Linked DNA regions of Macaca fascicularis. The protein of the gene in region 2 purifies or fractionates together with the protein of the main gene of each other region. This does not show direct contact. Links are inferred from orthologs where the notes say so. Each region holds a gene or a part of one and is shown on either strand. Other genes may lie near its edges. The genes, in order: BCKDHB, PPM1K, DBT and BCKDHA.

The links.
Region 1: the proteins of PPM1K (region 2) and BCKDHB purify together in Homo sapiens (affinity purification with mass spectrometry; 3 studies listed by BioGRID and IntAct, counting the BioPlex papers as one, with this or other methods). This does not show direct contact. The link is inferred for Macaca fascicularis from reciprocal best matches to the Homo sapiens genes PPM1K and BCKDHB.
Region 3: the proteins of PPM1K (region 2) and DBT purify together in Homo sapiens (affinity purification with mass spectrometry; 4 studies listed by BioGRID and IntAct, counting the BioPlex papers as one, with this or other methods). This does not show direct contact. The link is inferred for Macaca fascicularis from reciprocal best matches to the Homo sapiens genes PPM1K and DBT.
Region 4: the proteins of PPM1K (region 2) and BCKDHA purify together in Homo sapiens (affinity purification with mass spectrometry; 4 studies listed by BioGRID and IntAct, counting the BioPlex papers as one, with this or other methods). This does not show direct contact. The link is inferred for Macaca fascicularis from reciprocal best matches to the Homo sapiens genes PPM1K and BCKDHA.

What each region holds. Positions count from the first base shown.
Region 1 is NC_088378.1:95,038,395-95,044,110, reverse strand, and holds the start of BCKDHB (2-oxoisovalerate dehydrogenase subunit beta, mitochondrial), read left to right. Parts: upstream 1-2,375; 5' UTR 2,376-2,386; coding exon 2,387-2,582; intron 2,583-5,716. UniProt on the Homo sapiens protein: Together with BCKDHA forms the heterotetrameric E1 subunit of the mitochondrial branched-chain alpha-ketoacid dehydrogenase (BCKD) complex.
Region 2 is NC_088379.1:93,823,429-93,828,564, reverse strand, and holds part of PPM1K (protein phosphatase Mn(2+)-dependent 1K), read left to right. Parts: intron 1-518; 5' UTR 519-577; coding exon 578-1,017; intron 1,018-1,920; coding exon 1,921-2,021; intron 2,022-2,383; coding exon of another isoform or gene 2,384-2,424; exon of another isoform or gene 2,425-4,233; intron 4,234-4,644; exon of another isoform or gene 4,645-4,750; intron 4,751-5,136. UniProt on the Homo sapiens protein: Serine/threonine-protein phosphatase component of macronutrients metabolism.
Region 3 is NC_088375.1:134,204,008-134,208,576, reverse strand, and holds the end of DBT (lipoamide acyltransferase component of branched-chain alpha-keto acid dehydrogenase complex, mitochondrial), read right to left. Parts: intron 3,476-4,569; coding exon 3,308-3,475; 3' UTR 1,076-3,307; downstream 1-1,075. UniProt on the Homo sapiens protein: The branched-chain alpha-keto dehydrogenase complex catalyzes the overall conversion of alpha-keto acids to acyl-CoA and CO(2).
Region 4 is NC_088393.1:48,538,713-48,544,602, forward strand, and holds the start of BCKDHA (2-oxoisovalerate dehydrogenase subunit alpha, mitochondrial), read left to right. Parts: upstream 1-2,489; 5' UTR 2,490-2,503; coding exon 2,504-2,611; intron 2,612-5,890. Other genes in the region: EXOSC5 (exosome complex component RRP46), read right to left, coding at 1,859-2,006. UniProt on the Homo sapiens protein: Together with BCKDHB forms the heterotetrameric E1 subunit of the mitochondrial branched-chain alpha-ketoacid dehydrogenase (BCKD) complex.

The DNA.
Region 1 (5,716 bases), on a different chromosome or scaffold from region 2:
TCTGCAATTGGAAGTAGGTTAAGCAAAGAGTGGAATACATTTTAAGGATACGGTGATGTCTCATAGAATCCCAGGACCAGAAAGCAGTTAGGCCTTGGGAATAAATGGAATCAGGAACTCAAATGTAATCACACTCTTCACCTTTTCTGGTTCACAAAATTACTGAAAACTCCCATTTTTTGCAGTTCCTAGTGGCATTTAAAGATAATCTGATCTTTGTTTCTAAAATACACTTCCAAAATTCCCAGAAAAGGACAGTTTCTCAAATTGAGTAAATGTGGCCAGGGCTAGGGGAACGGAGGAAAGTTCCATTCTAATAACATAGATATTTTCATGGTTACCAGGCAAATGGTGTGGTAGACATGGGGGAAATTAAAAAAATTAGTTTGCAAAGCAGATGAATCTGGCAAGTGCCCTCTTTGTTGTTCTTGGCTGCATATAGTTGAAATTTCAAACCTCTTAGACCAGCATACAAAGGCCTTCAAAATCTCCCTTTAATCTGTTTTTCCTACTTTTTCTGTTAACCCTGTCTCATTCCCTATACCCTGAATCTAGAAGGACCAAGCTACTTTCTCTTCCTGGAATGCACTGGGCTCTTCGTGCCTATCAGCCTTTGTACAAGTTTCTTCTTAGTTTGGAATGCCTTTTTCTCCCTAGTCTGGCTGGTAACTTCTAGTTATCTTTTAGGTCTAGCTCAGAGTTATATCTGGAAACACTTGACTTTCAAAGAATAATTTATTGCTTTTTTTGTGTTTCACTTTGTTGGCACTATTCTAGGACCCCTATCACATTGGATTGTAGTTGTCTAATCTGTCTCTTTTCTCTACCAACTTGAACATTTTAGAAGTAAAACTATGCCTTGATCGTATTTGTCTCAATGGTGGCTTGTCTTTGGGTTGTACATAGCAGAGGTTCAATAAAATTCTCATCAGTTATTATTTTTCCCTTTTTCTCCCCGACCTAAGTAATCTCAGTACCCCCAGCTCCCTAAATTATCAACAAATAGAAAAAAAGCTCTATTCGTTTTTATCCTTGTTCTTTACTCTCTTTAGTTTAAACCCAAATTTGACTATGTAAATGTAATTTCATTTTGTTACCCCTTTCCTTCATTAAAACAAAAATACCCTTCATGCACATGCAAAACACTCTATCCGACACTGTTAAAAGAGCAGAAATGAACACCAACAAAAGCCAAGATGAAAAATTTCCCCAATGTTGAATTTTTGGACTTAGCGTGGGAGTAGGAAAATGGAGACATAATTCTGGTTCTCCCTTTGGCAGTTTTCAATTGCTGTTTCTCAGTCTCAGTCAGAAAACACATCTCTCTGCCTTTCATTTCACCCCATTTCTACTTTCTCCTCCTTTGCCCCTATGCAAAACCAAAGATGGGTTGAGAGGCCAGGCATAATGGAAGAGGAACGTTCTTTTCTTCCACTCCTGCTTCATTCTCTCCCCCTTTCTTCTTCAAATTCTGTTTTGGGCCCATCCTTCCTCACCCTTCCAATTTCATCTGATGGACACGCTGTCACTGTTGTCTCTTGTCATATTTGATTTTATGATATTTCATGATTTTTTTTTTTTGGTAAATTCATGGACAGAGAATGTATCCTGGTAAACACTTAGATTAAAACAAATTTACACAGTTGATTACTATAAATGAAAATTAGTGACTCAAATTCTCCAGGTTTCTAAGCTGCTTAGACTAAGCCAATCAGGTAATTTTCGCTACTTCTGGGCAAAATGTATCTGAATCTATTCAGTGGATTTGCAGGACGAAATCTAAGTTTACCTCTTTCATCTCTCATTTAAATGCGGAAAAACAAAATTAATAAAAATCGATATATGCTTATTAAGCATTTTAAGGAGGATGTGAATAAGGAGCGGAGGCTTTGAGCAGTGACTACAGCAGTCAAAACCAATAACCAATGCCAATCAGTAGCTCTTTTCACCTCTCACACAATAATAGAGACAGGAGAGGATAAAAAAGGGTGACATTAAAAAAAGTATGGATGTTAAAATGAAAAAAAACATTGGAAATGGCACTGTAAATGACACCGCAAAAGATCGCCTCCAGGCACTGTGTGGAGCTTCGCAGACTCGGGTACTCACCCGAGGGCCGCAGGACGGACCTCGGGGAGGCTCCGCCCCAGAAACTATTTCATGGGCGCCCCCACCGCCCAACACTTCCCCTCTTCCGCATGCGCACAAGGAGCAGGAGCCGGTCAGCTCGTCACGTCGCCTTCCCCGCCCCTAAATTTCCAGTTCCGATTGGTCCGTTTCATGGGACCGCCCCTCTGGCCCGACCATTGTGAAAGCCTCCTCGGGTGCTCCGCCCTCCCCGCGGGCTGCGTGCGGCATCGCCTGCGAACCCTGGCGGTGAGCGGGGATGGCGGTTGTGGCGGCGGCTGCAGGCTGGCTGCTCAGGCTTAGGGCGGCAGGGGCTGAGGGGCACTGGCGTCGGTTCTGTGGCGTGGGGCTGGCGCGGGGATTTCTGCACCCCTCCGCGACTGTCGAGGATGCGGCCCAGAGGCGGCAGGTGGCTCATTTTACTTTCCAGCCAGATCCGGAGCCCCGAGAGTACGGTGAGCCAGGGACTGCCCACTCGGTCCCGCTGTAGCCCGGACTCCCAGGCTCGCAGGCGCCCGCGAGGGGCAGGGGCCGGCAGGCTGCAATCCTTGCATCCTAGCTTATTAACTGCCTTACCCTCTGGAACCTCCTTGCCCCAGGGTCTAACTGTGATTCACTTCTTGCTCTATTTTTGTGAGTGTTCCGCTCCAGAGACGCAGTCCCCCCTCCCTCGCACCTTTGTGATGGGTGAGAGGGCATACTGCCACCTGGAAGGGCCTGAGGGTGGAGGGGTGGTGCCCAGGGAACGCCCCCCCTTTCTCTCTCCTCCATCCTTACTTTCTCAACCTAGACCTTAGGTGTTGTTCCAGCCTGCCCGGGACTGGGTCACTAGCTTAGGTAGAGACATTAAAAAAAAAAAAAAAAAAAAAAAAATATATATATATATATATATATATATATATATATATAATCAATTCTATTACTCAGTTCCTTGGTTTCTTCTTACCTACAGAAATGTGTGTGTGTGTGTGTGTGTGTGTATATGTCCCTTGGTTTCTTCTTACCTAGAGAAATACATATATATATATCCCTTGGTTTCTTCTTACCTATAGAATTTCTGCAGGTAAGAAGAAACCAGGGGACTGAGTAATTGAATTGATTTTCCCAAGGTCACAGAACAGGTTCTTCCTAGAGATCCAGACTTTCTACTTAAGCTTAGTACTGAGCTTGTCCTGGGCTATGCTGCCACTTAGCCAAGGAGGTGAAGGTGATAGGAGGAGGAAGCCATAGGAAGGGTATGTAGCAAACTCCTCATAGTATGACTATTGCATGATTTTTACCATTTCTGCAAGTTTCATGTAATGTCTCTTATCAGAATATCAGATCCAGTGTCTCTCATCAGAATATCAGGAAACTAGGTAAACATGTATTGCTTCCTTGTCTAATAACTTCTCACGTGCATGCTAGAGCTGACATTTTTGGAAGTGTGTCTTTTCTTGTGGATAAGAATGAACATTTATTGAGTGCTTACCAGGGTCAGGCACTGTGTGTATGTTTCATCCTCTCATTTAAGGGTTAGGACAACCTTAAAAGGTTGGTAAAGTTTTTATTCCCATTTTGCAGTTAGATTAATGGAAGTCTTGAGACAGTTTGTCCAAGATTACACGGATAAATTAGTGGTAGCTCCAGAGCTCCAGCTTTGGAATCTAATTGATCAGATTCCAGAGCTTCCATTCTAAACAATGTACTAAGATGCATGTAGATATAATTTACTAGGAGGGTGTCCCAGTATTGTGAAACAGTAGGTACCATAAAGGTTAATAGTAGGTTTTTTTTTTTCCACCACCAAGATGAGCCCTCAATTCTGTCTTGAAAGCAAAGAATAATCCACCTTTCCATAGTTGTAAATTTACTAAAATCTAAGTAAAATGATATCATGTTATCGTGATATATATCATGATATATATAAACTTGTTCTTATTTTAAAAATAATACAAACATATTACAGGTAATTTGGATAATGGAGAAAAAGTAAAAAAAAAAAAAAAAAAAAAATCTGCTGGGCGCAGTGGCTCACGTCTGTAATCCCAGCACTTTGGGAGGCCGAGGTGGGTGGATCACCAGGTCAAGAGATCGAAGCCATCCTGGCCAACATGGTGAAACCCTGCCTCTACTAAAGATAAAAAAATTAGCTGGGCGTGACAGCGCACGCCTGTAGTCCCAGCTACTTGGGAGGCTGAAGGAGGAGAATCGCTTGAACCCGGGAGGCGGAGGTTGCAGTGAGCTGATATCGTGCCACTGCACTCCAACCTGGCGACAGAGCAAGACTCCGTCTCAAGAAAACCCCAAAAACCAACCAACCAAACAAAAATCGCCATCCACTACTAACATTTTGGGTGTATCCTTACAGGTATTTCCTTTTAGTTTAGTATTTTCCGTACTTTTAGTTTTAATACAAATACAACTTATTTAGTCAGAAGGATAATCCTATCATTCTCTGGAGTTTTTATAACCTTCTTGAGAATTTAGAAGAAATGTTCCATGGAGTAGAGATGCTACAAGTCTTTTACAAGTTAAATTCTTGACTTCGGAATCAGATTGTCCTAAAGTTGATCTTGTCTTGGCTATCTATAACTTTGGAGTTATCACTTATCTTCTATAAGCCTCAGTTTCTTTATATGTAAGGGGTTAATAATAATACCTACTTCAGAAGGTTGTTCTGAGAGCTACATAAAACAATGTCTATAATATACTTAACACTGTTTGACAACTGAGAGTCAAGCATTCACTCAATAAGTGGAACCTTTAATTACCATTATGTTTTTGTTGCTAAAGTTTTGCAGTTTTATAAATAATGCAGATATAAGCATTTAATGCGTATGGGTTTTATGTATCTGAGATGATTTCTTTAGGATAGAGTCCTGAATGCTTTAGTGGATTTTAAGTGCATAGTTCAAATTTATACACTAGTTCATACCCCATAACATGTATAATAGTGTGAGTATTGGATATTAATGCTAAAATTAGGTGTGTTCATGTACACTTTTGGATATTTTGTGCTACCTGTACTTTGTTTTAATTTTTGTTTCATTTCCGTTGAGGAATATTTTCCCATGTTTTTGTTAACGTGATTTATTTTTACTTAAGAATTGAGTATTAGATGTGTTTACATATTTTTAAAAGTATACTCAGTATTTTTCCTATCAATACTATCTACCATTATTGCATAGTTGCTCTTTTCCAGGTGTTGTGTTAGACATCAGTTTATAATCCTCACAGTAACCTTGTGAGCTAGACAATATTATGCTCATTTTAAAGATGAGAAAATTGAGGCTCAGAAATGTTGGTACTTGCCCGAGTCTGGTAAGTAGCAGAGCCAGAGTTTGCATCCTGAGGTGTCTGACTCCAAAGTCTTCCATACTACTTATATACTAAGATTTTTGTCTATTAAAAAATATTGAAGAAGATACTAACTTTCTGCTTTTCACGTGTGCTGCAAATACTTTTCATTCTTTTATTTTGGTTGTTTTGACATATAAAAGGTACTGCTGAAACAGGAGGTGGTCAGATTAGACTCTGAGTTGGTGACACTTACGCTGCTTTATGCTGGCATGTTTGCTCCCTTTATTACACTGTGTTGTTCTCCGAG
Region 2 (5,136 bases):
TACCTTTTCTTGAAAGCAATAGAGTTAATGAAGGGAAGTATATTTATTTATACCTAAATTCTGTGTCCTTGCTACTGGAAGTGTAACTTGCAGACAAGCAGCTTCCGTATCACCAGGGTATTAGTTAGAAATGCAGAATGACTCCACCTCATAGCCACTGGGTCAGAACCTACATTTTAACAAGTGATTGCAGGTTCAAGTTTAAGAGACACATGTTCTGTATACGTGCACACCATCTAATTTTAATAGAATTTAAATGCTGTGAATGGGGTAGGAAAATTGATTCATTTTTGATCCACTGTTCTTAGAAGTAGGCTATTGGATGCCTACCCAATATAGAACATAAATATATGTATTTTCTGTCAAATCCTTTATGACCTTCATTTTTGGTAATATTTGATGACATATCAGTTATATTCAAAATTTCTGATGGTCTCTCTCTCTCCCTCCCCCTTTTCTTCTCCTCCTCTCCCCCTCTCTCCCTCTGTCCCCTGCAACTTGCATCATTTTTCTTGAAGACATTCCATTATTGTTCCATTGACCTTTCCCTCATCACTGAGTCCTTTGGAGCTGAGTTATGTCAACAGCTGCCTTAATTACTTTGGTCAGAAGTGGTGGGAACCAGGTGAGAAGGAGAGTGCTGCTAAGCTCCCGCCTGCTGCAGGACGACAGGCGGGTGACACCCACGTGCCACAGCTCCACTTCAGAGCCTAGGTGTTCTCGGTTTGACCCAGACGGCAGTGGGAGTCCAGCTACCTGGGACAATTTTGGGATCTGGGATAACCGCATTGATGAGCCAATTCTGCTGCCACCCAGCATTAAGTATGGCAAGCCAATTCCCAAAATCAGCTTGGAAAATGTGGGGTGCGCCTCACAGATTGGCAAACGGAAAGAGAATGAAGATCGATTTGACTTCGCTCAGCTGACAGATGAGGTCCTGTACTTTGCAGTGTATGATGGACACGGTGGACCTGCAGCAGCTGATTTCTGTCATACCCACATGGAGAAATGTATTATGTATGTACAATGACTTTAACTCCTGACTTTGCAGTTCCCCCATGCTTCCTACTTAAACTTTCACCCTTTGACTGAGGCTTCCAGGGTAAACATAGTTACTTGAGTGATTGCATGCTGCTGCTTCATGAATGAGCAGTAGTTAAGTGTGCCATTTATTTCTTATGGTTATCACAATTTCAGAAATGCATGTTTTAACAACTCCCCTGGGGAAAGCATTAACCAAAATTTATAGCACTTAATTTGTGATTATTTTAAGTGAAGTGGCATAATGTACATGAGATAACCTATGAGAAGCATTTACTCCCATCAGTGTAGGATGTCTAAGTGCTTCAGTGAATGGTAATTACTCTTTCAAGTGGTGTGAATAGCTTTGAATACTTGACTTGTTGAAAATAGCTTTGGATGATTGGCATTAGTGTGGAAAAAATGCATTTAATGCAGGCATTTTGGAGCTCTTCAGTTTATTTACTTCAACTATTATTAATGCATTTTTGAGGATCACATTACTGCTAAAATCGAAAGAGGGAGAACATGTGATGGAGTTATGACCGTGTGACTATATTTGACTTCCCAGTGACCATTTCTTGACTTCCTGTGTATACCTCATTCCACGAAAGAACTCATAATAGGAAGGAACTCTTGACCTCTCAGAGTTGTGGTAGTAAGGATTAATTCTTCAAGGACAAGGACTTGGACTTTGATTTTTGTGCCCTTAAAAGCTTATCACAGTGCCTGATACTTAGTGGATTCTCAATAAGTATTCCTTAGCCAGTAAGTCTTCAGCATTTGACTGGAAAATCATGAGGCCCATTGTGTGGAATGACTGCTAGCTAGAGTAACAGTGAGGAGAGAAACCTATTGTAAAATGATTATTTGAGGCTCTTTTTTTTCCTCCCCACAAAGCGATTTGCTTCCTAAGGAGAAGAACTTGGAAACTGTGTTGATCCTGGCTTTTCTAGAAATAGATAAAGCCTTTTCGAGTCATGCCCGCCTGTCTGCTGATGGTATGTAAAACTGTCACATTCCTTGGGTCCTAGGGAGTATGTAGGGTGGGGGAGGAGTAAAAAGGCAACAATTTAAGTCCTTTGGGGGAGGGGATTTTAATGTACAATTGTTTGTAAGGATTTATATAGAAATGAGTTTATATGAAGATTCACATTAAATGCCATTGGGAATCCAAATTAATGTTAATACCTCACTTTTAAATGAAATATATTGGAGAGTTCTTCAGAAAGAGAAGCCCCAAAACAGTTCTGATGTTGTACTTTAGTTTTTAAAAGATTTAAAAAATGTTTAATCTGTTTGCTCATTTTATGGACAAAATGCCCATACTATGAGTTTTGTTTTGGGTTTTTGTTTTTTTTAGATGGATCTGGTGACCAAGTGCTGAAATACACTACAGGGTAATCACATTTAGCTAGGATAGTCATTGTCCAACAAGAAGAAAATTGCAAATAGGTCCTAAATAGAAAAAGACAATGGTTAATATGCACTAATTTGGATGATTAGAAGGAAAATATTTTTCTGTCACTTCTTGAAAAGCTCAATCTTGCAGCTTTCCTCTGGTAACTAGTGATATTTTCAGCATAAGGGCATGCTAGCTGAATTTAAAATTTTGTGTATACTGCATGTCCTTAAATTTTGAAAGTGAAATGTTTCTGGTTTTGCCTAAATTTATCAAAACAATTTCAGGAAAATACAGCAAATGTTTTCTAGTTAGCTAGCCTCAAATCTTTTGCTGTTAAAGTTAGCCCTGAAAATTTCTGTACCAGCGAAATCAATGTGTGCATGTAACCTTGTAAATGATTTGAAAATGAATCATGCAGTAATCTTGATCTATATTTGGTTCATCCTTTTCTAAAAAAACACAAAAAACAAAAAACCACATGCACCACAGAAATGTCATTTTCACAGTCTTCAGTTGGAATACATAAGGATAGAGATTCTCTGCATTTCATAGTGAAGGAACTGAAGATTAGAATGGTCAAGGTCAGTTCAGAGTTAGGGCTGAGATTTTCCTGACAACCAGCATTCTCTCTCTCCTCTCATGAGGAAAGGAGAAAGTAACTCTGGGATGGCTCTATTTGCCATCTTGAGATTTTTCCTGAGGTTTTTTTGAGAACCTTACTATCACAGTCCTCAGGAAAGCATTACAGTCCACTCTGTTCAGGGATATGTTTTCCATTTTGTAGATTATTTAGGCCCATTTTCTTTTCTCTCATTCCTTTGGAATTTTTTTTTTCTTTCAACTGGATCCTTACCTTTAAGAAGACAGAAGTTGAAAGAGGTAAACTTTATGCATAAGATTTAGCTCTTGTTCCAAATAGTTAAAACACATGAAGGAGAAGAGGAAATAGAATGTTTTCTTACAGTTTTATTTTTATTACTTCCTGAATTTTGGTACTCTCTTATTTCATATTAACCAAGTTGACTGTGAGTCTGGCTATGTCTTACCCCACAATGTTTATTGACTGTAGTGCCAGTGGTGTGCCCCAGCTGTTCTGTAAATAGCTGCAGCTTACTCGGCAAGGTTTTTGGATAAGAATGTCCAAATTTATCCCAGGCATGTGACCACCAACCAAAAACACTGACCTTCTTGGTGCCATCAGCCTTTTTTAAAAGTATCTAGTCAATGTAGATGCTTAAACCAAACAGTGATTGACTTGATGTAAAATATGACAGGACTCCTTTTATTATTGAATAAAGTATAACTCAATAGAATTTTGAACTTAAAAAATTTTATTAACTTGCCTATCTTAAAATAAACTTTCTAAAGATACCTTTGTCACAAAAACAATTAAACAGCCGTGTAAAGAAATTAATCACAAAAATGTAATTCATATGCTGACTTTAGCAGCACATACACTAAAATTGGAATGATACAGAGATCAGCATGGTCCTTGTGTAAGGATGGCACACAAGTGCAGGAAGCATTCCATATTTTTTATTCTTAATAAAATTAATTCATTTGTAATAAAGAAATTAAAATGCATTATTTAATTTAATTCCTCTGTCATATGCTTTGAGGTAGTGATCCCAGAACATTCTTAAGATATTTTAAAATGGATTTTTCTTATAATGGTAATTTGTTTGAAAGTATAATGGAGCAAGACAGGATGGTGCTCTTAGTGTGTACTACAAGAAAAAGTCTATTATAATATTGTTATTAAATCTTATTTTGTTAAATTGTTATTAAAATTTTATTTTGTTATTAAATCTTATTTTGTATATATTCTTATTGGTCTGTGTTTTTTAAAAATTAGTGTTTTGAGAACATTTAAAAATTTTATTCTTAATAAGTTGCCAAAGCCTTCAAAGATGGCAAAAATTGTCTTTTGATATTTAGGGCCTGTTTTATCAAATACATTAAAGCCATTAAAGATAGAATGCCATATGTTGTGTAACTGTTCAATTTGTGGATATTTTTAAATGTCATTTTATATTTCAAAGTTATTATTTAAGTTTAAAACTTTGGTTTTTAGCAAGAACTGAAGCAGTATCAGTATTATAAGAGTGGATAATATTCTTTTCAGCCTATGTATATAGATAGGACCAGTGCCAGTGAAACAAAATTTTGTAGTAAGTGCAGTTTACCCTCTCCAGTTTCTTTCATCTTTTCTCTTTTAGTATTAACCCCTTTCCCCTCCTCTTGAACCCTTCCTGTGAGGTGAAGGACTGTGGCTTATTCATTTTTGAATCTCCAGTATGCAGCACCCTGCATAGAACCTGGCAGGTACTCAATAATTATTTGGATTGAACTGAGATCTCCACTGCCTACTCTTTCTCACTGAAGTCACTGTAATTTTTTCTTTGATTATCATATAGCTGATTTAATCAAATTATTAATAAAATGTATGCATTTTAATGAGCTGTCACTCCTGGTGGATTTGAATTTTAATTAGCAGACACCTGAAAAAGGCTTAGTTAAACCATAGAAGTGAATCACTAATGTTGAGATTTTAGGTATAAAAGAGAGACGCGCCCCTCAGTCCTACTGAAGCAGCATTGTTTGTCTGACGTAATACTTGAGTTTCATTGTCTCATGCCAAGGAAATCAAGGACGAGGACACACAAGGAGTGAGGTTAAGAGTGGAGACTTAATAGGTGAAAGAAAGAGAA
Region 3 (4,569 bases), on a different chromosome or scaffold from region 2:
AGTAGAATTATTTCTCAAATTAACATTGAACTTAAACCGGGAAGAAAATACAAATGTTCTTTGTTGGAGAAATTATAAAATCTTGCAATTGCAACAAACAGCCTCACAGTTTAGTAGTATCTTGTGTATTTGCCTTCCACTCCTTACTCTACTGCTACCTCAGCTTCCTCTCTATCCACGTCATTAAAGAACTCTCTTAGAAAAATTCATAATTTAACATGAACTGAGGTGGGATGGGGTGGGAAGGCAATGCCTCACTTTACATAGTTCATTTCCTTTTTAATCTGCCCAGAAAAAATTTCTCCCAGATTCCCATTCTCGATTCATGTAGTTGAATGAGGATGGCTGACTCCTAGGCTCCAAAGGTGACCATAAGACTCAAGTGTGGACAGAGTATTCTATTCTCCTGCCCACAATGACAGGCACATGAACCAAGAAAGACAAATCAAAAGCTGTCCTGGATATGTGTGTGTGTGTGTATGTGTGTGTGCGTGCCTGTGTGTATGTGTGTGTGTATATATATACATATATATATATATATAGAGAGAGAGAGAGAGAGAGAGAGTCTTGCTCCGTTGCCCAGGCTGGAGTGCAATGGCACAATCTCAGCTCATGGTATGGTAGATGTTTAATGTTTGAATGTATAATAAATGCATACAATGGAATACTATGCAGGCATTTATTTATTTATTTATTTTGAGACAGAGTCTCGCTCTATCATCCAGGCTGGAGTGCAGTGGCGCGATCTTGGCTCACTGCAACCTCCGCCTCTGGTTCAAGCAATTCTCCTGCCTCAGCCTCCTGAGTAGCTGGGACTACAGGTGCCCGCCACCATGCCTGGCTGATTTTTGTATTTTCAATAGAGATGAGGTTTCACCATATTGGCCAGGCTGGTCTCGAACTCCTGACCTTGTGATCCACCTGCCTTGGCCTCCCAAAGTGGTAGGATTACAGGCGTGAGCCACCACACCCAGCCTATGCAGCCATTTAAAGCATGATAATGTGGAATTGTTTATTGACATGTAAGGTTACCCATAATATAATGTTATATTTTAAAAATCAAATAATAAAATAGTAGCTATACTATGATCCTGTTTTAATAAAAAAGAATAGCCATATATACAGATACATACATCAAAATGTTAATAGTGGTAAGATTATGAATGATTTTTTATTTTATTGGTTAACTCTTTGTATTATCTGAAATTTTACAATAACAGCATTTATTTGACCTATTTTTTTTTTTTTTTAAGAGACCAGGTCTCACTCTGTCACCCACACCGGAGGATAGTGGCACAATGACAGCTCACTACAGCTTTGAACTCCTGGGCTCAATTGATCCTCCTGTCTCAGCTTCCTGAGTAGCTGGGACTACAGATGCAAACCACCACACATGGCTAAGTTTTTTTTTTTTTGGAGACAAAGTGCTGCTCTGTTGCCCAGTCTGGAGTGCAGTGGTGTGATCTCTGCTCACTGTAACCTCCACCTGTCGGGCTCAAGCAATTCTCCTGCCTCAGCCTCCCAAGTAGCTGGGACTACAGGCGTGCGCCGCAAGGCCCAGGTAATTTTTTGTATTTTTACAAAACTGTAGAGACGGGATTTCACCATGTTGGCCAGGGTGGTCTTGAACTCCAGATCTCAGGTGATCTGCCCGCCTTGGCCTCCCAAAGTGCTGGAATTACAGGCGTGAGCCACCAGGCTAATTTAAAAAAAAATTTTTTTGAGATGGGATCTCACTATGTTGCCCAGGCTGGTCTCAAATTCCTGGCCTCAAGTGATCCTCCTGCTTTGGCCTCTCCTATAACTGGGATTACAATTACAAGTCATCACACCTGGCTGATGTATTCTTTCCTGATTTAAAAATTATTTCCATTTTGAGAAAAACCAAGTAGATACTAAAACAACCTTTTTTCTGTCACAAAACTTCACTTAAACAACTAATTTTGGCATACAGTTTTCAACTGGACAATATTAGAAACAACATGGATTTCCGAATGCAAATGGAAATGTTGGATACATTAATCTTGATGCTATTTCTGATTAAAGTAGACCTTTAGCAAAATGATCATTATCAAACCTTCATTTCTATATAAAATTTCGTATTTTTTATATCCATAATTACTATTAGATTCTTCCTTCTCCTCTTATTTACATTCTTACCCAGGATATGAAGAATGGAATAGACCTTAATTTCTTATCCTATTTTTTAGCTAAAAGTTAAAAGGAAGTAGATTTCTGAAATTAAAAAAAAAAAAAAAAAGAAAAGTCAGTGGCTGCTACCTTTAAAGTACCTTCCTTACATGAGGGAAGTTTGCAAAGGTGAAGGTCTTTCCCAAGAAAATACCAAACCATTACCAAAAATCTAAAAGTATATCCATTTTAAACGAACACCTTTAATAGACTGGTTATAAAACTATAATTGGACATTTTTAAGGCCAGTTTATACTTTTCCCTTTTCAAAGACATTAATTAATATAAATAAGACATTTACAGATGATGTTCTCTATACAGAGCAAGAATATACTCTTGGATATCTCCAAAGAGAAGTATAATTGCACTTATTTTATACAACAATTAGCATAACAGGGAAATGGGAAATATTTTTGCATATAAATTCCATTTCTTAAGTATAATTAAAAAGTGTCATTAAGAATCAGTTAAAAAAAATAGGGCATATACTGTCTGTATATGGCTACCTGTCTTTTAGTAACATTAATTTTGTTTTTTTTGTTTTTGAGACAGAGTCTTGCTCTGTTGCCCAGGATGAAGTGTAATGGCACGATCTCAGCTCACTGCAACCTCCACCTCCCAGGTTCAAGCGATTCTCCTGCCTCAGCCTCCCGAGTAGCTGGGATTATAGGCACCCACCACCATACCTGGCTAATTTTTATATTTTTAGTAGAGGCGGGGTTTCACCATGTTGGCCAGGCTGGTCTCGAACTCCTAACCTCAGGTGATCTGCCCACCTCGGCCTCCCAAAGTGCCGGGATTACAGGCGTGAGCCACCACGCCCTGCCTAATTTTGTTAATCTTGCCAGTTTCAAGTCATTGACACAAAAATGTCAGCACCGTATTAAGAAGTCACACTCTGACCTATAAAATGTGACAGCCCCAGGAGAACTATTACCCCATTATTCATTTTCAGTAAAAAGTCTAATAGAACAGTGACAAATATTGTACCTTAGATCCTTAATCATACGATACAAATCATTTACAATACAAATTGTAAAGATGAACATGTGCTGGCACAGCTAGGGTTTACATACTCTTTGGAAGCTCAAAAAGTTCAAGAATGTCTTATCGGTCTTCATTTCAGATCTAGTAGCATAAAAGCCGGGTTTTCTAAGTAGGATTTCCACAAATTAGAGAAGCGTGACATTGTAGCACCATCAATAACTCTGTGATCAGCTGACCAGCTCACATTCACTATCTGTGCCTTATATACTTCTCCTTTCTGGTTAAATCGGGGAATGGCCTAGAAATGAAAAATAGAAAAAAAAAAAAAAAACAAAGAGTAAACCCTCACTTGCTCAAAGCTCAAGCTCTAACAATGGTGTAAGATCAAGCAAACCCTTCTTCCTACAGTAGAGAAAAAAATGGGCATCCCCAATGACTTTTGAAAATGCTGACTCCTATTCTTCCCATCTTCGAGTATGTGCCTGGAGCTTTCAGAAGTTCTCCAAGGTACTTCCTATCCCTTGTACAATTCCTGTACCTACATTCATTAACTTTCATCTCAGATTTTAAATATTTAATAATTTTTTACTGTATACCCACTATGTGCCAAGTACTCTTCTGGGCTCTGGGGAGAGACAGACAATTAAATAAGGCTTCCTCACTGAAGGCAGTGAGGAAACAAGCCATTCTCAAGCTCCCCTGACCACTGAGTTGGCCAGGAAGAAGACAGAGGACAACAACATGCTTGTGTTCTTCGTGGATGTTAAAGCCAGTAAGCACCAGATCAAACACGCTGTGAAGAAGCTCTATGACACTGATGGGGCCAAGGTCAACACTGTGGTCAGGCCTGATGGAGAGAGGAAGGCATATATTCTGTTGGCTCCTGATTACAATGCTTTGGATGTTGCCAACAAAATTGGGATCACCTAAAATGAGCCCAGCTGGCTAATTCTAAATATGTATCTTTTCACTGTTAAAAAAAAAAAAAGGATAGACAAAATATAAGCCCCAACTGATTATTAGATTCAATAGACATAAAATCATGCTGTCAAACTGCTATAAAAGTTTCTAAGCCCTACTCTGTTTTTCTATACTGATCTCCTCATGGCTGGGATACAACAGTCACAGCCAGATGTGGATCCCTGATGACACTAAGTAGCATCTGTGTAAAGCCATGTAGGCCACTGCAACTACTTGTCTTTGATTCTGAATGAGATGAGAAGCCCTTAGAAGTGTCTGAGCAGATTGGCCATTCACTGAAAGAGGACGACTTTAGGAGGAGCAGGTCTGATGGGGGGCGGGGGGGGGGCAGTGGGGAAACGAGCAGGAGCTCAGTTTTAGACATGCTAAAATTCAAGATGCCTTTACACATCCAAGCAAGATATAAGAGTT
Region 4 (5,890 bases), on a different chromosome or scaffold from region 2:
CTGCCCTGAGGACTGGAGAAACCAAAATAGAACTCGCCTCTGGCTCCAGATGAACTGCCTGTGTTTCACCTGAGCACAAGAGTCCCTCCCCTCTCACCTTCTTCAAGACGTGGCTCCAGCAATTCTCTCCCCTGTTGACCCCACAACCATCTTCAATTCCTGCCCCACTTATCTGATCCTCTTACAGCAAAACTCCTGAACAGCTGTCTATTCTTCCTTTCCTGTGACCCCACCACTCCACTGCGGCAGCTCAACATCGTCACCACTGACCTCCAAATGATCAACCCTCCATTGACCCGGCTGTCAGTAAGGCCGAAACAGCTGTCAGCCCTCACATCTCAGACACGCTCTTCTCTTGGCCCCAGGTCACCACCCTCTCCCGGTTTCCCCCTAAGTCTCTGGGCGTTCCTTCTGAGTCTCCTTTAGCTTGCTTGTCACAAGTCCCTGACTGCTCAAGTTGGAAGGCCTAGGGCTTGGTCCTGGGACCTCTTTTCCATCTACACTGACTTCGTTCAGTCAATAGGCTGAAATACCATATATACAGCCAGAGAGTTCCAAATTGCCTATGTCCAGCTTGGGTCTCTCTCCTGATTTCCAGACTTGTACAGATCTGGGCAGAAACCTTAGTTATGCCTGACTCTTTTTCCTCGCACTCAAACCAAACTATAGGTAAGTTTTGTCCGTTTTACTTTCAAACTACATCCAGAATCTCATCACCTCCACTACTCCTGTTCTGGCTGGAGCCACCATCACCTCCCTGTTTTCCCCCATACTCCCCACAATCAACACAGCAGCCAGATTTTGTTAAAATGTATTGGGGCTGGGCGTGGTGGCTGGTACCTATATGAGCACTTTGGGAGGAGGACTGCTTGAGTCCAGGAGTTCAAGACCAACCTGGGCAACATCGTGAGACCCTGTCTCAAAATTTTTTTTTTTTTTTTTGAGACAGAATCTTGTTTTGTCGTGCACACTGGAGTACAATGGCACAATCTTGGCTCACTGCAACTTCTGCCTCCTGGGTTCAAGAGATTCTCCTGCCTCAGCCTCCCCAGTAGCTGGGATTACAGGCGCCCACCACCATGCCTGGCTAATTTTTGTACTTTTAGTAGAGTCGGGGTTTCGCCATGTTGGCCAGGCTGGTCTCGAACTCCTGACCTCAGGTGATCCACCCGCCTTGGCCTCCCAAAGTGTGGGGATTACAGGCGTGAGCCACTGTGCCCAGCCTCCTGTCTCAAACGTTAAAGAGAAATATTCTTGGAGTTAATCTGGTTCTGAGAGTTATTTAGCTAGGGGAAGGGGATATTTGCCCTATAGGTAAGACTTGCCCTAATCTTAGGGATATTTACTCCTGTGGAGAGATGCAGTGAGGTAGCGGTGGGGATGTATTTTTCAACCCAGGGCAGTGACATTATCTTCAATTTGAGGAGTATTTACGTGGGTGAAAGATCCGCCACAGTCCAGAGTATGCAAATTGACAGGTTTGCGTCAGTCCGGGATGCAAGGACCTAGCGGGCGTGTGTGTGGGGCGGGCGGGGGCGGGGGTGAGGAGGAGGAACCTAGTTAAGGGCGATATTTACCCTGGTGAGGTGATTTTCCCTATTCTGAAATATCAATTCTTGCGGGGACGGTCTGCCCCGCCTGTCATTCTCAGACATATTTACAAAGATGGAGCTATCTTCTCCTTTCTAGTCGTGAGGGAGAGATGTATGTATCCCTGCGTATGTAGTAGTATTCAATCGGACAAGAAATCATGTATCAACGCAGGAGTGACATTTACCAGCTGGTATCATGGGGAGATGGGCACTCCGTTGCACGGTACATGGTAGTCCCTCTCCAAAAGACCTGGGTAAGTTCTTACCTTGCAGGAAGGAAGCAGAGCCATCTGGCCGCGACAGCAGGTTCTGTTCGCAGGCAAAGTGCCGGAGGCTGCAGCCGGGACCCCGAGGGCTGCACCCTGTTCCAATTTCAGCGCGGATTTTGGCGTCAGTATGCATCTCCTCCTCCATCGCGCCGACCCCACGTGCGGCTGCGATTATCACTTCCGCCCGGCAGCGCGCGCTGCGAACACTCTGCGTAACCATTGCGCACGCGCTGGGCTCGGCCGTCAGTCCTGGCGTCCGCACGTGGCTTAGCGTTTACCAACAATCTGGCTCCGCCCAGTCCCACCTCCTAACTCTGGCAACGCCATTGGACAGTTGAGAACAGGAGGCAGGCCTTGGCAGTGACCTGTTTTACTCTGGGCCCCCGGGCCCTAAATCCCTGAGGCCGTGGTCAGGTTGCCCTCTTCTTTGCCTGTTACAGGAGTAACTACAATGAGGCGACTGGGGAAAATTTTGGGTAGATAGGTTTTCTTCTCCAAATCTCTGTGCATTCTATCTACAACAGAATGGGAAGAAGGTGATTTTCTTGTCAGATGGTGCTGGAGTTTGTGTCAGGCACATAAAGGGGCAGCCCCGAATCTAGCCTACGTGAGTGCCCTACCGCTGAGTGGTTGCTAGCCAAGATGGCGGTAGCGATCGCTGCAGCGAGGGTCTGGCGGCCAAACCGAGGCCTGAGCCAGGCTGCCCTCTTGCTGCTGTGGCGGCCTGGGGCTCGGGGATTGGCTAGATCTGTGAGTACCTGGGCCCCAGGGGGTTTTCCCAAAGGGGATTAGGGATGTAAAGGCTATCTTCAGAGTGTGGGGTCCCTGAAGGATATGAAGGAAGGGCTGTCACAGAAGGGAAAAAGTGGGAGACCCCTTGGAGAAGACACCGAAGGGAAGATCTGCCACTTCCTTAGAAGAAAAGAACTTCCACTTCTTCAGGAGAGGACAAAACCCGTTTGCAACTTCTTTGTGGGCCCTGAGGGAGGGAGACGACTTGAAGAGAGGGATGGGAGTTCCTTATTTATTTATTTAGTTAGTTTTTGAGGCGGAGTCTGGAGTGCAGTGGCCGGATCTCAGCTCACTGCAAGCTCTGCCTCCCGGATTCACGCCGTTCTCCTGCCTCAGCCTCCCGAGTAGCTGGGACTACAGGCGCCCGCCGCCACCCCCGGCTAATTTTTTTTTTTTTTTTTGCATTTTTAGTAGAGACGGGGTTTCACTGTGTTAGCCAGGATGGTCTCGATCTCCTGACCTCGTGATCCGCCCACCTCGGCCTCCCAAAGTGCTGGAATTACAGGCGTGAGCCAGCGCGCCCGGCCGGGGGTTCCTTATTAACTGCCACTCGTATTCAGGGGAGGTTCCTTGGAGGGACAGGGGAAGACCGCGAGACCTTTTCCCTCAGGCTTTGGAGAATGAAACTGACTTTATAAAGGAGAGACTTTCTTCTGGGCAAAGATCCCTCTTCAAGAAGAAGAAAGAAGAGAGCAAGTCCCCTTATCGCAGGCTGCATAGGGCCTTGTATTTCTTTGCTCCTTTGCCACAATTCTGATTTTAAAATGAATTGTGTAAAAATTTTGTTTGGTTCCTGTGTCTCCTGATCGAATATCAAGACAGGGAACTCGTGTGTTCTGGACACTGTACAGAGGAGATGATTAATATTTGTTGAGTTAATGAGGGGAAAAACGGAGGGACAGAGGTACAGATAGGGCACTTTGCCCACATTTCTTAGAAACACTTGAGAAGGCTTTGTTTCTTGTCAAAAGGGTCACAATCCCTTCAGGTGGATGCTGTCAAAATTACACTGCAAAAAACCTGGGTGGAAGCCTCTCTTTAGAGGGGGAGAGGCAAGGGGTTGCAGAAGAGCTTTGAACTACATTTGACAGATAGGAGAGTAGTGGTTACATGGGTGGGTTCGTGTCCTTGCTCTGCCACTTTCCACTTGTGTATTGGGCAACGGACTGCACCTCTCTGGATCTATGGACCTAATTTCCCTCTCTAAAATATTAACAGTGGCCACCTCATAGGACTGTGAAAAATTAATATGTAAAATGCTAAGGACTGGACCTGGCACATCATAAGGGCAATAGGAATGTTGGTCATTGTTGATAGTGAGGGTAGAGGGAAAGGACAGAAACTGACGTTGGAGATGGGGAGAAGAAAAGGGTGACCTTGGGAAGGCCTGGACTGGTGAGGCCCTGCGGAAAAAAATCTTAAAAGATCTTGTGAGGTTGAGTCTGATCCTCTGATCCCCAATCCATAAGGAGGAGAAGATGGAATCTGTAGAAAGAAGCTCTGGGTAGGGGGACAAACGGGAGGAGGGTGAAGAGGATGGGCCGGGAGTAGGACGTAGTAGGTATCTAGGAATGGAGTCACTTGAAACAGGTAAATGCAGAAGGGCTGCAGGAGCAAGATGTGGGTAGGGCAGTCTCCTGCCTTTGGGCTGGAGACCTTTTCACTTTTTTTTTTTGGAGCAGTTCATATCCTCCACCGCTGATCTCAGTCCCAGGAGCCTATTGGCTGGGCAACTGGGGCGGGAAGTGGGCAGGACTGGGGCAGGGTAGGGAAAGGTCATTTAAGGCTGATTAAATCTTTCTCTCCTGTCTCAATCTCCTGATTACCTTTCCTCTTGCTTCCCCTCCTTCATTTGTGGTGAGGAATGGGGAGGGAAGAAGTCCCTACTTTTAATTTTTTAATATATCTTTAAATTTGTATTATCTTAGAGTTATTGTTTTTTCCCCTTTATTTCTCCCACCTGTTCTTTCTCTCTTCTTTCTTTCCTCTCCTTCTCTTCTCCTCTCCTCCTCCCCTCCCCTCTCCTTTTTCTTTTCTTGTCTTGTCTCGTCTTGTCTCTTCTCTTTTTGTTGCTCTCTTTCTTTCTGTACCTCTTTCTCTCTTTTCTTTTTCTTTTTTCTTTTTTTTCTTTTTCTTTTCCTTTTTTTTGAGACAGAGTTTCGCTCTCTTGCCCAGGCTGGAGTGCAGTGGCGTAATCTTGGCTTACTGCAACCTCTGCCCACTGGGTTCAAGCAATTCTCCTGCCTCAGCCTCACTAGTAGCTGGGATTACAGGCGTGCACTATCACGCCTGGCTAATTTTTGTATTTTTGGTAGAGATGGGGTTTCACTATGTTGTCCAGGCTGGTCTCGAACTTCTGGCCTCAAGTGATCCGCCTGTCTTGGCCTTGAAAGTCATGAGCCACTGCACCCAGCCTTTTCTTTCTTTTTTTGAGACAAGGTCTCACTCTGTTGCCTAGGCTGGAGTGAGTGCAGTGGTATGATCATGGCTCACTGCAGCCTCAACCTCCTGGGCTCAAGCAATCCCCCCACCTCAGCCTCCTAAGTAGCTGGGACCACAGGCACATGCTACCATGCCTGGCTGATTTTTAATTTTTTTTTTTTTTTTTTTTTTTTTGAGATGGAGTCTTGCTCTGTTGCCGAGGCTGGAGTGCATTGGCACAATCTTGGCTCACTGCAACCTCCACCTCCCAGGTTCAAGTGATTCTCCTGCCTCAGCCTCCTGAGTAGCTGGGACTACTGGCGTGCACCACTGTACCCAGTTAATTTTTGTATTTTTAGTAGGGATGGAGTTTCACCATGTTGACCAGGCTGGTCTTGAACTCCTGACCTCAGATGATCTGCCCGCCTTGGCCTCCCAAAGTGCTGGGATTACAGGCATGAGCCATCGCGCCCGGCCGCGCCCAGCTAATTTTTAAATCTTTGTAGAGATGGAGTTTTGCCATGTTGTCCAGGCTGATCTCGAACTCCTGGACTCAGGCAATCTTCCTGCCTCAGCCTCCCAAAATGCAGGATGACAAGCGTGAGCCACCTTGTCTGGGCATATTATTCAATTATGAGTTTAAGTAGCCACAAGTGGGCTGGGCGCGGTGGTTCACGCCTGTAATCCCAGCATTTTGAGAGGTCAAGGTGGGCAGGTTGCGTGAGGTCAGGAGTTCGAGACCAGCCTGGCCAACATGGTGAAACCCTGTCTCTACTAAAAATACAAAAAAATTAGCCTGGCATGGTGGTGTGTGCC